Oreochromis niloticus: one gene and its partner. The protein of the gene in region 2 purifies or fractionates together with the protein of the main gene of each other region. This does not show direct contact. Links are inferred from orthologs where the notes say so. Each region holds a gene or a part of one and is shown on either strand. Other genes may lie near its edges.

What was found.
Region 1: the proteins of zc3h18 (region 2) and ncbp2 purify together in Homo sapiens (co-immunoprecipitation; 3 studies listed by BioGRID and IntAct, with this or other methods). This does not show direct contact. The link is inferred for Oreochromis niloticus from reciprocal best matches to the Homo sapiens genes ZC3H18 and NCBP2.

Annotation. Positions count from the first base shown.
Region 1 is NC_031981.2:31,414,003-31,421,770, forward strand, and holds the start of ncbp2 (nuclear cap-binding protein subunit 2), read right to left. Parts: upstream 3,001-7,768; 5' UTR 2,900-3,000; coding exon 2,825-2,899; intron 2,488-2,824; coding exon 2,401-2,487; intron 1,432-2,400; coding exon 1,337-1,431; intron 300-1,336; coding exon 161-299; intron 1-160. UniProt on the Homo sapiens protein: Component of the cap-binding complex (CBC), which binds co-transcriptionally to the 5' cap of pre-mRNAs and is involved in various processes such as pre-mRNA splicing, translation regulation, nonsense-mediated mRNA decay, RNA-mediated gene silencing (RNAi) by microRNAs (miRNAs) and mRNA export.
Region 2 is NC_031972.2:38,979,223-38,987,272, reverse strand, and holds the start of zc3h18 (zinc finger CCCH domain-containing protein 18), read left to right. Parts: upstream 1-5,015; 5' UTR 5,016-5,154; exon of another isoform or gene 5,155-5,470; intron 5,471-6,084; 5' UTR 6,085-6,128; coding exon 6,129-7,043; intron 7,044-8,050.

The DNA.
Region 1 (7,768 bases), on a different chromosome or scaffold from region 2:
TTAATATCTTTTTGGATTAATTCAAATACGAGTGCAGTTACTCACAGAACTAACTTTTAGCTTTGTAGTTTGCTCCAATAAAAATAAATAAATAAACCAGCAGTCGGCATCCACAGCAGGTTGCTTCCATTTATTAAAGTACTCATATCCTAACCCTCACCTGTCCTCCTGATTTGCCACGACCAAACTGTCTTCCCTCCTTGAAGCCGGCATCCCAGTCTGTCCTGATGATGCGGTCATCCAGCCGTGTGCCATTAATGAAGCGCATGGCATGCTCTGCATCTGCACGGGTGTAGTATCTGGGACAGCGTTAAGGCACAACACGTGCAATTCATGATGTTCTGGTAACTTCTGAAGGTGATTCTGAAGTAGGGGTGGGCGATAGAAACGATATACGATAGAAACGACATAAATTTGGCCAATGATAGAGATTTTGACTATACCGCTCTACCGCGATAGCGCATGTTGATGATGTCATCAAGCTGCGCCTGTTTTGGTCGAAAGCATCGCAGCGGCTACAACCATAATCATCTGCAAATTATGCCGGGTGACAGTCATAGCAAAGAGATGAAGCACTTTTGAAATATGGGGAAAGCCAAAAACTGCGCTTCCTCCACTTCCGTAACATTGATTCATTAATGCTGAATTCTCTCGCAGCTGTTCTATTCCCATGTTGTTGCAGTATATTAATAACTAACCTTGTATTGTGGATGGATTATCTCAGTTGTTCTCCTGACTGAAGTTTGGCCCGTGTATAGCATCCTGCCATGCGATTGCCTTTGTCCCTAACCACCAGAAACCCTCACGTTAACTTTTATCGAGTGGAAAAAAAGTTGGCGTTCATCCTCCAGCTTCACTGTGCTAATATTATGCTAACATAGCTGTGTCGCTAGCAATCACGTAGCACAACATTATATACCAGGTAGTCCAACTTCAGTAACCCTGCAAACGCCACTGCTGTTTGTTTTCTGTCTTCATTTATGTTGGAACTGGTAGCAGAGCTGTACGTTTTAATTAGCTTCAAAAATCTCTCAGTCAGAACATGATATGTCATGTTTAGGTGGAAACTAGGTTCGAGGTCAGTAAGCTCAACCAGAATTCATACATAAGGCACACTCTCGATTTTTGAGAAAATTAAAGGATTTTAAGTGCGCCTCATAGTGTGGAAAATACGTTATACAGAAGAAAAGAATATATCGCGATATATATCGTTACCGCACGTGCTTCAAATTATACCGCGATATGGATTTTAGGCCATATCGCCCAGCCCTATTCTGAAGGCAGTCAAATTACTGACAGTTTCTTTTAGCATGAATTAAACATTTTTGAAGGATACTCGACAAAGCAGAACCCACAAGCAGTCTTCTTGATTTTGTCGAGGCCAATGATGATACGCTTGACATCTCCACTTTTAGAAAACAGCTCGTGTACCTGTTCACAGTGGCAAAAAAAGTTAGAAAACTTGAGAAAATTTAACAAAATATCTGCAGTGAATTTCCCAACTCTGGGACTTCTCTTGTGATAAACTATCAGAAAAATCAACACTGAAAATATGTCTATTATGTGTTTTTGACATATATTTTATGTGCGACACATTGACGTTCAGTTTTTTCCATCAAATTTTCCAACCCTTGAACACAAAGACAGCTTCAGTGCAGTGCCGCTGAAAGTGTCAAGCTGCTGTGAAGCTCAGAACAGCTAAAATGCCATTCTTTACATGACTTTTTTCAGGCACACAACATGGCTCACTCATCCATTCATACAAGCACTTTCTACCTCACAGTCACACACAATTAGAAAGCAACTTGGGGTTCAGCATCTTGCCCAAGGATACTTTGGCAAACCAACAATCTTCCAATTAGTAGATAACCTGCTCCAACTCCTGAACTACAGCCACCCAACATCGAGTGCACTGCTGCGCCTGTCACACACATGCCCTACCTACCTACTCTAGTCAGTCTATATGTGCAGTCAACACCTGCACATATGGACTGTAAATTTATAGTCTGACGCGTTTTACAATCAAAATAAGCTTTTTTTCATAATTCAAAAAAGGCTTAAATTCATAAATGTATCAAATTCACCTATTAAAACTTCCACTGAGACAACACATCAGTGGAATCTGTGTGATTGCTCTGAACATATAAACACTTGAAGCTTATGTGTAATGCCAGTGGTGTTTTGGTGGCATAACTAGAGGACAATATTTGACTAAACATGTTTGTTTATCAGGCAGATGACATGTACTGTTTTATAAATGAGTCTCCTAATCTATTAGTAGCTCAGTCAGCCATTTCCCCCATCATATTGGTCTCTTTGAAGAATTTTATTTTAAAAAATTAAGCAACTTTCCAATAAAGCCGGGTTATTACTTTAACTGGTGAAGGTATTGTGTCTTACCTGCTCCTCGGTGGTGTAGAAGGAGAGATTGCCCACATACAAAGTGTTGCTCTGCTTCAGAAGCTTCTCCTGTTCATAGCGATTACCCTAAAAGCACAAGCAACGTTACAAATGTTTAAAAAAATTGCTCTCAAGAAGTTGACATTATAGCGATCAAACGACCTGTGTTGAAGCAAGGAGTTAATTTATAAGTTAGCCACGCTTTAGTCCTAACGAAGCATCATAAAACAACATCAGGACTTTTTAAGGCCAGGTTAAAATACAGAGATATGTTTTGCTGTTCTGTTTGTTCCCGAGTCACCTCCACTGCACAGCACCGCTCGCCTTTGTTGTTTGCTAACAGTTAGCTATAAGATACATTACATTTACATTCCCGTAAATCATGATAAGTCACCGCGTTCCTAAAGACCACTTCCTCATTTACCTTAAAGTGTTGGTCTCTGTATTGACTAATGTCAATGTAAGAATCACTGTTTAGCGCGTTTAGTTTAACAGACATCGTGAAAAAATCGCAGTGAGGCGCTTTGCTGCTATTCAACTAGGAGCATGCCGGAAAAGCGATGATGTTGCTTCCGTTTCATGTGTCCGTCCTTTGAATAAGTCCGGGTACAGCAACTTCTATATCAGGTTAATGGCGCCGCCTGTTGGTATCACTGACTGTAGAAAACACATAACAGTGATTTGTACAGTCATCGGTTGATATTCAATCATTGCCAAGATACAGTCACTGTTACCAGCAGGCAGACTGTCTGTGACAGTTTAAAGACCTATTTGCATAAATCATAAAACCCCCAAACCTTAAAAAAAAAATGTTAAAAAATGTTAATTACGCATCAAAATACTATTTTGAGTCCTGTTTCTATTACACAAGTACAAGGGCATAATCACGCATGAACTTCAACTTTTTTTTTTTTAAATAATACTAAAATATGTTTTTTAATGAAAGGTCACAGTACCTCAAAGTCAACAAAAATAAATAAATAAAAATAAAACAACAAATTTGGCTTTTATTCCCAAATTACAGATTGTTTTTATTCATTAATATTACAGTTTTAAAAGTTTGTCGTTCGTTTTGTTTCTTGTGTCCAAACTGGACACAAAAAGACTGAAAGCTTGCTACTGTTAAACTGAGTCGTAAGTCACATGACTGCTGGAGCTGTGTGAGATGTGGTGCCATGCTGTTGGCTACTGCACTTTTATTATTATTGGCTACTAAAGTATCAGTGCCCCTCTTTTCCTTCGTTCTTCTTCTGCTATTTTTTTAAATAGTTTATTTTGTTAATATTTTACTGTTTTATATATGTTATATATGTTGAGAAAATGTGTCTGTGTGTGTGGGGGGGGGGGGGGGGGAGAATTAATTTACTTTGATCTTATGCTTAACAAAAAGTTATTATTAATTAATGAAGCTGAGCTCTCTTTTTTGGATGTTGGCTGCCTTTTGCTCCATTGTCTGTGAAGATGATTGTGCACCACTTCAATAATGTTGAGGCCTGGGCTCTGACGAAGTAAATACATGACAGTCTTCCATTTTGGGTCTTTCTAGTTTCAATTAGAAGAGTGAAAACAAAATTTGCATTTTTGCAAGAGGATGCTAGTAACACTTTCAGAAAGCCTGCAGAACTACTGCTGAAGACCATAAAAACAATTGCAAGCCTGCTTGAAATTAAAATAGAAATAACTAGGGGTTAGCTAAAGTAGTTTTCAAGTAGTAAAAAAAAAAAAGAAATTAAAAGAACAAAAGTACTTACAAACATTTTATTACATAATTCAAATTCTTACTGTTAAAAAAACAAAAAAAACAAAACGTATCCTAGTCTGACCTGACTCCCACTTCACACTAAATTATTTCCTGAACAAAAAACCCCCTAAATAACAAAAACAGTGTGCAGATGTGAATAAACCCGCTTTATAAAATTAAAGAAATTAAGAAAAGAGATGAAGAGACGGTACAGCGTATTGAGCCCACAGTCAAATACACACTGAAAAAAAGGGACTGGCCAGCGTTTTACGTAAGCATCTTGCGTGTATTTAAAACAAGTGTCTCATGCTTTAAAGTTAAATGTAACTATATAGTGTAGAGACTACATGATATGCAGAGAGGCTAGATTAAATTGTTCATATCATGTTCAAGTGAAGTAAGTCAATAATATAGCAATGTTAAATCCCGCGACACTGCACGGGTTTCAGTCCCGTGCTCTTTGGATCGTGGTTTGAGGAAGGCATCCATCTCAGTCAAGTCGAGCAGCCGCCTCTACTTTTTTGGTATACCGAAAAAAGTAAATTGGGTGGTTGTTACATTAAAAAAGTCTAACTTGTAATTTGAACATAATTTCGTGTTTCTATGAACGTAATTAAATCATGAAGGATCTGTACGAAATTCAACAACTTAATTTGTTCTTGTTGAGATGACATAAAACAATCTAGTCAGAGTGGTTAGTTGCTGAACTCATGAAATTCACAAGATCGCACGAGATTTCAAACTGCAGGAAAATCACTGGAGATATAAGAGGCAGACAACTACACACACACACCACGTGCATGCTATTGCTATTTATTGTGGATTAACCTGTGAAGGACAAAAACAAAAAAATTCTGCATCAAATACAGGAAATCATAGTTTTCCTGTATTTCCTAGATTGTTGGCATGGTGGTTAGTGCTGTTGCTTCACAGTAAGAAGGTCTTGGGTTCAAATCTACATTCTGGCTTGTTTGCAGTGGTTTCTCTGTGGGTATTCTGGTTTCCTCCCACAGTTAAAAGTCATGCAGTTATTAGAGTTAGGGTTAACTGGTGATTCTAAATTACCCGTGAATGTAAGTGCAAATGGTTGTTTGTTTCTATGTGATAGACTGGTGAGCTGTCCAGGTTGTACCCTGCCTCGTAACCTATCACTTCAGGGTTATTTCCCAGCCCCCCTGCAACCAGGATAAAGATGATAGGAGGATGGTAGTTGCTGTAGACCCATTCAATTTTTATGGTAACCAGGATCTAGACTTTGTTGAACATTATGTAATATGAAGACAACATGTAGTATTTAAGTGACCAAGTAGTATTGGGGTAAAAGTTATTGAATAGTGTTGAAATAAAATGACAAAATTGTGAAGGATTAAATTATTCCAAGAGATCAACTTACTTCATCTGAACATGTTTCAATCGCGTTTTATGAACACAAAATGCACAGGTTTATTGAATAAAAAGCAAAGCTGGTAGAAGGAAAACAGGAGCTTTGCTGACTCTTCTCTCACATTTGCCTTTTAATCTTCATCAGAGGTCACATGGTCTCCACTCAGCAGCACCTCCTGGAACCTGGAAAAATAAAGTGAAAGCACATATTGTTATAGTCAAAGCAAAAAAACAACAAAAAAACAACCAGTGTGTGTCAATCAAATCAGTATGTTCAAGGACATCATCCTCTTAACAGATCCTGAAGGTTTTTCATATGCAGTAGTTACATTTTGAGTTCTCCAAAGAACAAAGCATTATTATCTGTGTAGATAGTTTAGTCTGGGTTTCGGCTTTGTTGCTGGAGCAATCAGCCTTTCAATGATCAAACAATCCTCAAAGAGAGGGAAAGTGAGTAATGCGTGATGCGGACCATTCTGACAGATCTGCTGGGTCTGGCAGAGATTTAATCATAATGTAAATATCCCTTCTCTTAACACACCTGCTAACCTAATCTAGCCAAGCTCAAAAGACATGCAAACAATGCAAAAGTGAGAGACATTCTTACTTCTGTGTCAGGAAGAAGGACAAGCTGACCTTCTAAAATCTATGCACAGCTTCAAGAAGGGAGTTTGTGAATCATTTGGAATTACGATGATTTCACTCAACTTGAATACAACCTGACTAAGCTAATTAACACACATAGTTGTGCTTTTCATTGTTTAATTTAACACATTAAGAAGTTATGGCAAAGGCTGGAAAGAGTTAAAAATTAACTCTTGAATTCCATAACTTGTGAAACATCCTTCAACAATCAGATATGGCCAATAAGTGCTTACGCAACATGCAGAATGCTGAGGAGAAACAGTGGAGCCTTCCTTCCTATACAAAACTCCCAGGATGTGAAGATCAAAAAATCTCTCTGAAGGTCCTACCTCAGGATCTCAGCTGGATTAGTGTCAAACCTAATCAAAACCTTAATGTTGTTTCACTGTCTTCCAGTTTTCTGGTGCTAATTAACTCGTATTCTTATTGCTTTGCAAGCTCCAGGTTATGGACTGCTGTCCTGACAAAATGTCTTCATGCAATTTAACTTCATTATTTCTTCAACTGTCGCAAGGTGTCATGGGCTCGAGAACACAGTTGCAAAACATGAGACTACCACCTCCACGCTTAATAGTTAGGAGCAGGTTTTTTTGGAGTGCAGTGGTTTCCTTACTGTTTTCATCCTATTTGTGGAGATGTCTGCAGGTGTTTTGCTGCTACCTCTTTTGGGATTGAAACCTTGGGATGATCTCTGCAGTATGTCTCAAATGCAGAGGAGCAGCAGCCCTAAATTACACCTAATTTACAGACAATTTGGCTCATTGTAGACTGATGAACATTCAGGTCACTTTAGTTTTTCTAGCCTTTCCCACTTTTTTTCATCACAGTAATGCTTCTAAGGTCCTGTGAAAGCTGTCGCAAACAAGGCATGTTAAATGCCAAGCAAGTTTCCTTAAGAGGAGCAGACTTTGCTTTCCTTTATTTACAGGAATGGCACCTCCTGCAGCCCCCACTTCAAATTTCATGTCTTAAATCTGAACACCAAGCAAGCAATTTATTTATATAGCACTTTCAGAACAACTCCCAGCTGAACACAAAGTGCTGTACACTTGACATGCCAGAAATGATACATTGAATAAGTTAAAAATAAATAAATAAATAAAGATAAAAAAAATAAAAAAGATGATAATTAAAATGACATTTAAAATAATAAAATTCAACCACAAATAGCAAAAAAATAAATAAATAAATAAAATAGTATAAAATGGTAATTAGAATAACATTTAAAACAATAAAATCAGCACATTAGATTAAAACAATAAAATCAGGGTCATACTGTGTCATATGCCAAGGAGTATAAATAGGTTTTAAGACGTGTTTTAAAAGTTGACAGTGAAGGGGCCTCTCTAATTCAATTCAATTTTCAATTCAATTTTATTTATATAACACCAAATCACAACAAAAGTCACCTCAAGGCACTTCATAGGTACAGAGAAAAACAATCATATGACCCCCTATGAGCAAGCACTTTGGCGACAGTGGGAAGGAAAAACTCCCTTTTAACAGGAAGAAACCTCCGGCAGAACCAGGTCAGGGAGGGGCGGGGACATCTGCTGTGACTGGTTGGGGTGAAGAAGGAAAACAGGATAAAGACATGCT
Region 2 (8,050 bases):
TTTCCCCACTCTGAGCCATTACAACCAATCCAATTTAACACAAAGTCACCCTCTACAGTGTAGGCAACAGAAAACAGCTACATTTTTTATTTTCCTTCTTTTTCTTCAGATTTAACCTGAGTTTAATTAGAATTTTAAAAAGTTAGACTAAAGTTTGTATTCCCATCTACTGATATTATATTATCATGATTTTAATATAGCAAAAGGTTCAGTTAGCTTTGTAGTAAACAGAAACGTCCTTCAAAGAACTACTTTTTACTTTCTTGCTTTGAGTACATTTCAGAGACTGTACTTTTTTACTTTTACTTGAGCAGAGGGTTCACCCAAAGTTGAATCAGTACTTCAACGTTTACTTCTACTGAGTAATTTTTAACAGTAGTAGTATATGTATTTCTACTTAAGTACAGAATGTCTGTATTTTTGCCACCTCTGGTCCCTACTGATTGCGAATTTCTGTCACACCTTTGTTAGATTCATCCGTGTTTTAATGCAAATAAAGCAAATAATGCAAATTTATATGCCTTTTTTCATTGTTTTTTCCAAACGCACTTGATTTATTGATATTTTTTATTTGAACTTGCAGTTAGTTACCACAATGAATTGTATGGTAACTAACAGCCACCAGTCTAGCACAGTGTTTTACTTTAAATTTGCCACAATATCACAAACCTGTTTATCACGATCTAAAATGCCAAGTATTTTCATACAAATTTTGAATAACACAATGTTGGTATGAGTCAGTTTGTTCCACAGGATGTTTTATAATATGAAATAAGCACAATTTTACATACAGATATGTAAATACCCGATTTACAAAATGAGGACATTATGTATTTAAATTTAAATTTACAGTCTATAAAATGTCATTGATCAGCATTAACCTTTAAATATGGTAAATGGCCTGTATTTATGTAGCGCTTTTCTGGTCCCTAAGGACCCCAAAGCGCTTTACATATCCAGTCATTCACCCATTCACACACTGGTGATGGCAAGCTACGTTGTAGCCACAGCCACCCTGGGGCGCACTGATAGAGGCGAGGCTGCCGGACACTGGCGCCACCGGGCCCTCTGACCACCACCAGTAGGCAACGGGTGAAGTGCCTTGCCCAAGGACACAACGACCGAGACTGTCCAAGCTGGGGCTCGAACCGGTAACCTTCCGATTACAAGGCGAACTCCCAACTCTTGAGCCACGATCGCCCAATATAACCTGTCTTCCTTTCCTGCCTCACATGTGAAGTTATCTGTCACTTTTCTCTCCCTGGGAAATGCATCAGCTGTACATTTAGCTAGCAGTCACATTGTGCAACAAACTGCACATAACCACACACAGAGTGTGTGTTTTTACTGATCTTTGTTGGACTGATAGAAACATTACATTTGAAATTACCTGCCACTCCAAAATAGTTACTCCCTTTATGCTTGTGCCTGTTCTGTAGCGTTAGCTAGATCATGAAGTACTGTAACTTTCCTCAAATGCATTAAATGCATTAAACAGTAACAAGTATCAAGCCTTTTTTAAATTTAAGGCATAGAAAGTACAGCCATTTGTGTAAAAATGTAGATAGTGGAGTAATGTAAAAGTTGTCAGAAAAATAAATAGTAAAACAAAGTACAGATACCTGAAAATTCTACTCAAGTATAGCAGTAAAGTACTTTTTACTTCCCACTACTGATGGGGACCAAGGATGACTACCCCTGGAAAAGGTAAATACAGTGCCTCATCCACAAACACATCCACAAAGAGATGGAGAATGAAAAGATGAGACAGAAACTGGCAGTGGGCAATGGGAAGACTGGGAAGCTGTGATAGTGCACCCCCTAATGGAAGCCTCCGGGCAACACACTGGGTTTGTAAGGAGGACACCTGTGGCTCATTGACCATAGTCCAGAATGGCAGACCCTGGAACCCAGATCTGAAAGCCAAGAGAACTGGACTGGACTGACTTAATCTGGGAAACACAGAAGTGTGGTGTGGTGGTCAGGGGGGTTATGATTAAGTTCGCAACAACGCCACCTAGGAGAATTTCACCCCTAGGAAATATAAAGATGAAGCATTTAAACAAAATAACCAAATGTCTGCACAGCTTCAAAAATGCACCACTGAAGCAGATTGGTTCCATTAAAATATTTAAATACCTTTAGTCCTTTAATACAGATTTTAAAATAATAAAAACCAGTTTTACATCCAAGATGCTGCACAACATAGAGACTGTGGGAAAGGACCCACCACCAAGAAGGTCCCACAGCTACTGGCTTATCTTCAGTCATGAAAATAAAAAGCAAGAATGTTAAAAATCACAAAAATATAATAGGACACTTGACATCAGACTCATACAAGAAAAACTACTAAAATCCACTCCAGGCATACAGTTTTAAAATGTCTTACACACACACACACGCTACAATAAAATACACAAGCCAAAGAGTCATATACACACTCCACAGGTGAACTGTCGCCTGTGCCAGTGACTGTTGATATAACAGGTAATCCTAGCTCAAACACAACAAAAAGGAATTCCCATTTAGCACTCTCTGTGGCGAGTGGAGCAAATCACTAAACAAGCTAGTACAAATAAACAAATGATGCAGGTAAAGTAGCAAGACACACGGACAAGAAGTAACTGTGGCAAAACAACGCAGGCAAGACAGGAGGAGTATAAACAAGACATTAGTTCCTCAAAGCACAGACCACAAAATAGTGGCTGCTGCATCTGCTGTGAATGCCTTCACAGCACTGATCATTTCACACACTTTTTTGTCTCTATCCTGCAACTGCTGGTTCAGCTTTTTAATTTTTTCAGTCACATCCATCAGGAAAGCCAGATCAGCCACTCAGCATCACTTGGTAGTATGGTATCCTCTCCTCTCATCTTACGTTTGCTCAGCACTGGACCTCCGTGTGACTTTTGCACAAATAGCCTGCTGATGGATGATGCAGTGATAGTTCAAACATTTAGGAAAGTCTGGGTCCGCTTTGCCATGTGTAATAAATCTCGAGTGATGTCCTGTCATGGCTGCTGCTCCATCAGTTGTTACAGAAACCAGTTTTTCAATGGAAATCTTTTTTTCCAACAAGTACCGCTTCATTGCATTGTAAATGTCAACTTCCTTGGTTTCCAGTGGCAGCAATGTCAAAAATTCCTCCTTTGTGGAAAAGTCATCACCATGTGTGCACAGCTAGCTGTGCCGTATCACTGTAGTCCACAGACTCAACACGCTGAAGTAAATACCAGGAGCACCTGTTAAGGTCCAAATCTAGCTTTCTCTCTGCATCTGCTGACAGTGTTCAAGCCAAGCTGGACATTAGCGATAGCAGAAAGAATCTCAGTCTTATTTTCGCAATGATTCTGCCATGGTGGCCATTGCCTCTTTAATGATCCCGACATTAATGAAGGGTTTTTTGTGCTTGGTGAGGATGTGCACCACTTTAAATGATGCCTCGGTTGATGCGCTAGCATTCTTTGGCTGTTTAGATTGTTGTTTTTGGAGGATAGTTTTCAGTTCTTTTACCTTTTCTTTGCAGAGGTTGCTTCCCACTGCAAAGTCCTGGGAAAAGTTGCTGTGAACTTTGGTGAAATGCTGCTCCACGTTGCATTTTTTTAGAGACACCAAGGCTCGCGCCACAGATCACACACACATTTGTGGGAAAAAAAGTTGTTTCCCACTCCTCAAGAAAATAAATTTTTTGCCTCTTACTAGCATAACCAAACTCTGCTGCTATCATTGTTGCTAATAGCCTGGCACCTCGTCTGCCTGCTACCTCCATATGGCGTCTAACCGCTTCAATTGCAGACAGCAGCCCGGCACAAACTTTTGATTGACAGTTAGTTGACAAATAATTGTTTCATTTCAAGAGGGGTAGGGGTATCTTTAATTTTGATTGGATGGAAAGCTTGGCCAGTTTCGCCAACCTACAAATTATATTTCTTATTTTCTTGACCACTTTTGTTATTGACCCCTTTGGCAAGCTACTGAAAAAGGCCCCATTCGCAAGTGATGTGTTGGAGACTCCTGCTGTACTCTGAGCCCCTCCCATAGTAACTCTGGTACCGCCTAGTTACACCGTATTCATGTTTACACATTACTGTGCTCATTTTCTATATTACAAACAAAATATGAAGAAATAAGGATTGGTTTCATTATGGGCAAGAATTTTTCAAGTTAGACGTTTTTGGAAATAAACAGACATTTTAAGTTTAATCAAACTAAAACCAAATAATTTTTTATAATCTACAAACGATTAGTTAGCTCAAACAAAGTGGCCTTTCTTGTTTAGACAGTTCATATTGGTTTGCCTGTTGAACACAGCAACTCATTTAAGACTGATTTAAGATTTTCAAATTTATGCCACAGGTGCATCTACTAGGGGCTGAGGGGTAGCGCTGGTTTTTCACTCAGCCACTCAACTTGCTGTGAGCTTTTACCTTTAAACCAAAGTTTTCTTCTAAGTAAGTTGACCTTAAATCTTGTTGTGAGCTGCTGTTTTCAAGGCAAAAAAATAATAATGATCAAGAATTATGTTAAAAAGTTTATTAACTGCAACAATCAACATCAGTGACGAAAATCTACTTTCATATAGTCACTGCATAATACTGATATGATTACTTTGTTGTTAATTTATTCTTTAGTGAACTAAAAAAAAGTTAAATTTGTCTTTGGATATGGAGAACTGAAAGAAATGAAATTAAATGAGTTAACTCAAATAGTTAATTCAAAAAGAATTAGTGGTGGAACACTGTATCCATATTACAGTTATTGTCACCAGAGATGAGAGGTCACCAAGTGAATAGAAGAGAAAACATTAATCAAAAATAATAGTTACATGGAACGACTTAACTGCTCCCCAAAAATGTCTTCCATGATTTCTAAGTAACTGGTTAAAAATCATGTATGTCTAACAACATTCTTAAAATATTACAGATATTCTCCTGTCAACGTTGGCCCATACTGATCTCAGGTCTGCCCCGATTAGCTTTCAGCGCGGTTCCAACCACACGGTTGTCGTATGTTGATGACGTTGAGGTAATGGCCGCTCTCGCTGGGCCGTGCAGGGTGCTTTATTTTCATCGCTACAGCGGCTAAAAATAAAACCGTCTAATATTTATTGCAGACAGTAAAAAGTTTTATCCGCGGGAGAGTGCAGCTGAAAAGGTAGAGGCGCGGTCTTTATAGAGCTTCGTGTCGGCAAGGTGATTAAAAAATGTGTTGTTAGCTCCTAGCACAGTGTACTTGCTCTTTTAGCTTAGCTTCAGGGGAGGCTACATTGTTAACCGTAAGACGGCCAAGTGTACTGGTGCGAACGCTTCGTACTAAACCGGTACTGTCCACTTATTTGTATGGTTAAGCCAAGCGTTTATAATCGCTGAAGAAAACTATCCATAGGTTGGGGACACTTTACTCGTTATTAGCCTTGTCTTCGCGCCGCCAAGTTATGGGCCTTGTTGCGAACTAGCGCGACCCAGCCATTGTAAGTGTTACCAGTGACATTATGCTACAGGGAAACCTGTCTTTATAAACTTGAGCATGTTGTCTAATTATGTATACACATATAGTTGTACCATGGAGCAATATGGAGACTTATATACACGTAAAACTAAATGGTGGTTGTTAGTTAGCGTGTTATAGCTAACGTTTACTTTGCTGGTGAATTAGCAGCGCCGGAAACTATAATTTCATAAAACATATACTGCTGTGACCAACATCTAATTACGTCTCAATCTCAGGAAAGGTGTTATCAAAGTTAATAGAAATTAGTTTTTCTCCGTTCTTTGTGTCAGCAATCACCAAATGAACAAAAACAAGTATTTAGCGTTATGGTGTATGACAGTTATATATTACTATATAAATTAACTGTACCATCTTTCTTTCAGTTGGTAGCAGAATTAACATTTTTTTGTGGTGCATCATTTTAAATTTAATTTTTGATTCTAGACATTTTATTGGTTAATTTTGACTGTTTTTAACTGACTGTTTTTAAATCGATTATCAAATGGCACGTAGCATTAGATTGAACAGTGTTAAATTACTATCAGATTACTGGTGACATACAGTTGTCTTTTCTTTCTTTCTTTCTTTTGACAGATTGCTGTTTTGTTGTTGTTTTTTTTGCACCAGAGTGGATTCACATGGATACTCCTGAAAGCCCTACCCAGTCCCCTCAGTCTCCTGAGGAGGAGGAAAAGGGTCTTTCTGACAGTGAGTTGCTGGAGTCTCCTAATGAAGAGGAGGACAGGGTCATTTCAGACAGCGAGATCCTCAATGAAGAAGGGGACATAGAAGTGATGGAAGGGCATGGAAAACATGTGGAATTAGAGGAAGAGGAGGATGAGGTGGTGCCTGACTTTGTGTCGGAGCCAGAGGATGAGGAACCTTTTGGAGAAATGGGAGAGTTGGGACAGGATGATGAGAGCATTGTGCTTATGGAGGGGAATGAAGACAGTCCTCAGGTGGTGGAGGAGAGGGAAAGAAAGGAGGATGATGAGAGAGTTGTCAGCACTCCATTATCCCCAGACTCTGAGCCAGAAAATGCCAAGAGCCTCAGTGCTGGAAAAGATGGAGAAGACTGGAAGGAAGGATATGATGACTACATAAAAGCTGCCTCTGCAGAATGTGAGGTAGCTGAAGGGGATGATCAGGAGGAGGATTACAAAAACAAAGATGAAGAGGATGGAAGAATAAGAGATGAAGAGACAAGAAGAGCTGCTGTGCTAAGGGAAGTGAAGGATGACTCTGTGTCAGTTTCCCGGGAACTAGACGAACATGAGCTTGATTATGATGAGGAGGTCCCAGAGGAGCCTGGCATCCCTACGCACGAGGAGGAAGATGAGGAAGACACAAAAGTAGAGGGAGATGAAGATGAGGAGGAAAGCGAGGACAAAAGCAGTAAAAAGGAGAAAAAGTCAATCCTTCCACCATCTCCTAAACACAGCGAATCCAGGAGGACAGATGGGTCGAAAGGGCCGGAGAGGATACGCCAGGACTCCTTCAGAGACAAGAAGAAGGATGAGGATGATGGAGAAATTGATGAAGGAGAGATTGATGTAAGTTATTGTAGTTCAGTTGGTAGTAGTGCCGTCTGATTTGCTGAGTGCAGGTAAATTGTGTTGTGTTTGAAAATAAGCCTTTAATCAGGAAGCACTGCTACTGTGTTTTTGTTTTATTGATAAACCTTAAGAACAAATAGCCATTAAACATAAAGAGTGGTGTTAAATCTGAAAAAAAAAAAAATTCCAAGTGGACTGGACCTAATTTGGCTGGATGCTCTTTATGCTACTGGTGAGTGTGTTGAGTGTGTGTTACACTCTCATAATAGAGAAATAAGAATATGAAGCCTTGTAGTCTTAACATTTTCAGAACTCAAAGGTTTTTTCTTTCTTTTTGTGTTTGAGGTCCATATCTTTCTCATGAGTCACGTTTTAGCAGGCTTTCAATGCATGCTCTGTGTGAAGAGCAAAAGAGGGAAAACCAAAAAAAAACGTCCAAATAGAGTTAGTATTTGAGTTAAGTTAGTATTTGATTAATAGTTGACTTATATGTTCTTGCAAAATCTGAATAGAGCTGTGGATTAGAAAGCCCACAATACAAGTCCCTTTGCAATATAATACATATACTGATACGGTAATATCAGGCCAAGATACGGTAAGTTCTTGGCCCTGTAAAACCTATGCACAGATACTGTCAAATAACTAAAACTAGAAATATATTTTTAGTTTTGGATGTTTTATACTAGGGCTGTTCGATATAACGATATATATCGGATGACGATATAAAAATGTCTATCGTTTCATTTTACACTATCGTTTGTTTCGTGGTGTCGCAAAATAAACTGTTTACGGCAATATTTTTTTCACCGTTTTGATGGTCACTGTAGTGGCTATATTAATTTCTTAAAGTTCTCTCTTTCTCTTATATTTAATATAACCACACTACGGACGGACAAGCGCCTGTTTTTATGCGTTGTGGTTAGCAACAACGACGGTAAAACCACCTCGTGTCCGCTTGTTTATGTTCCACATAAACCTTTCACAATAAAGCTCAAGATCCTGTT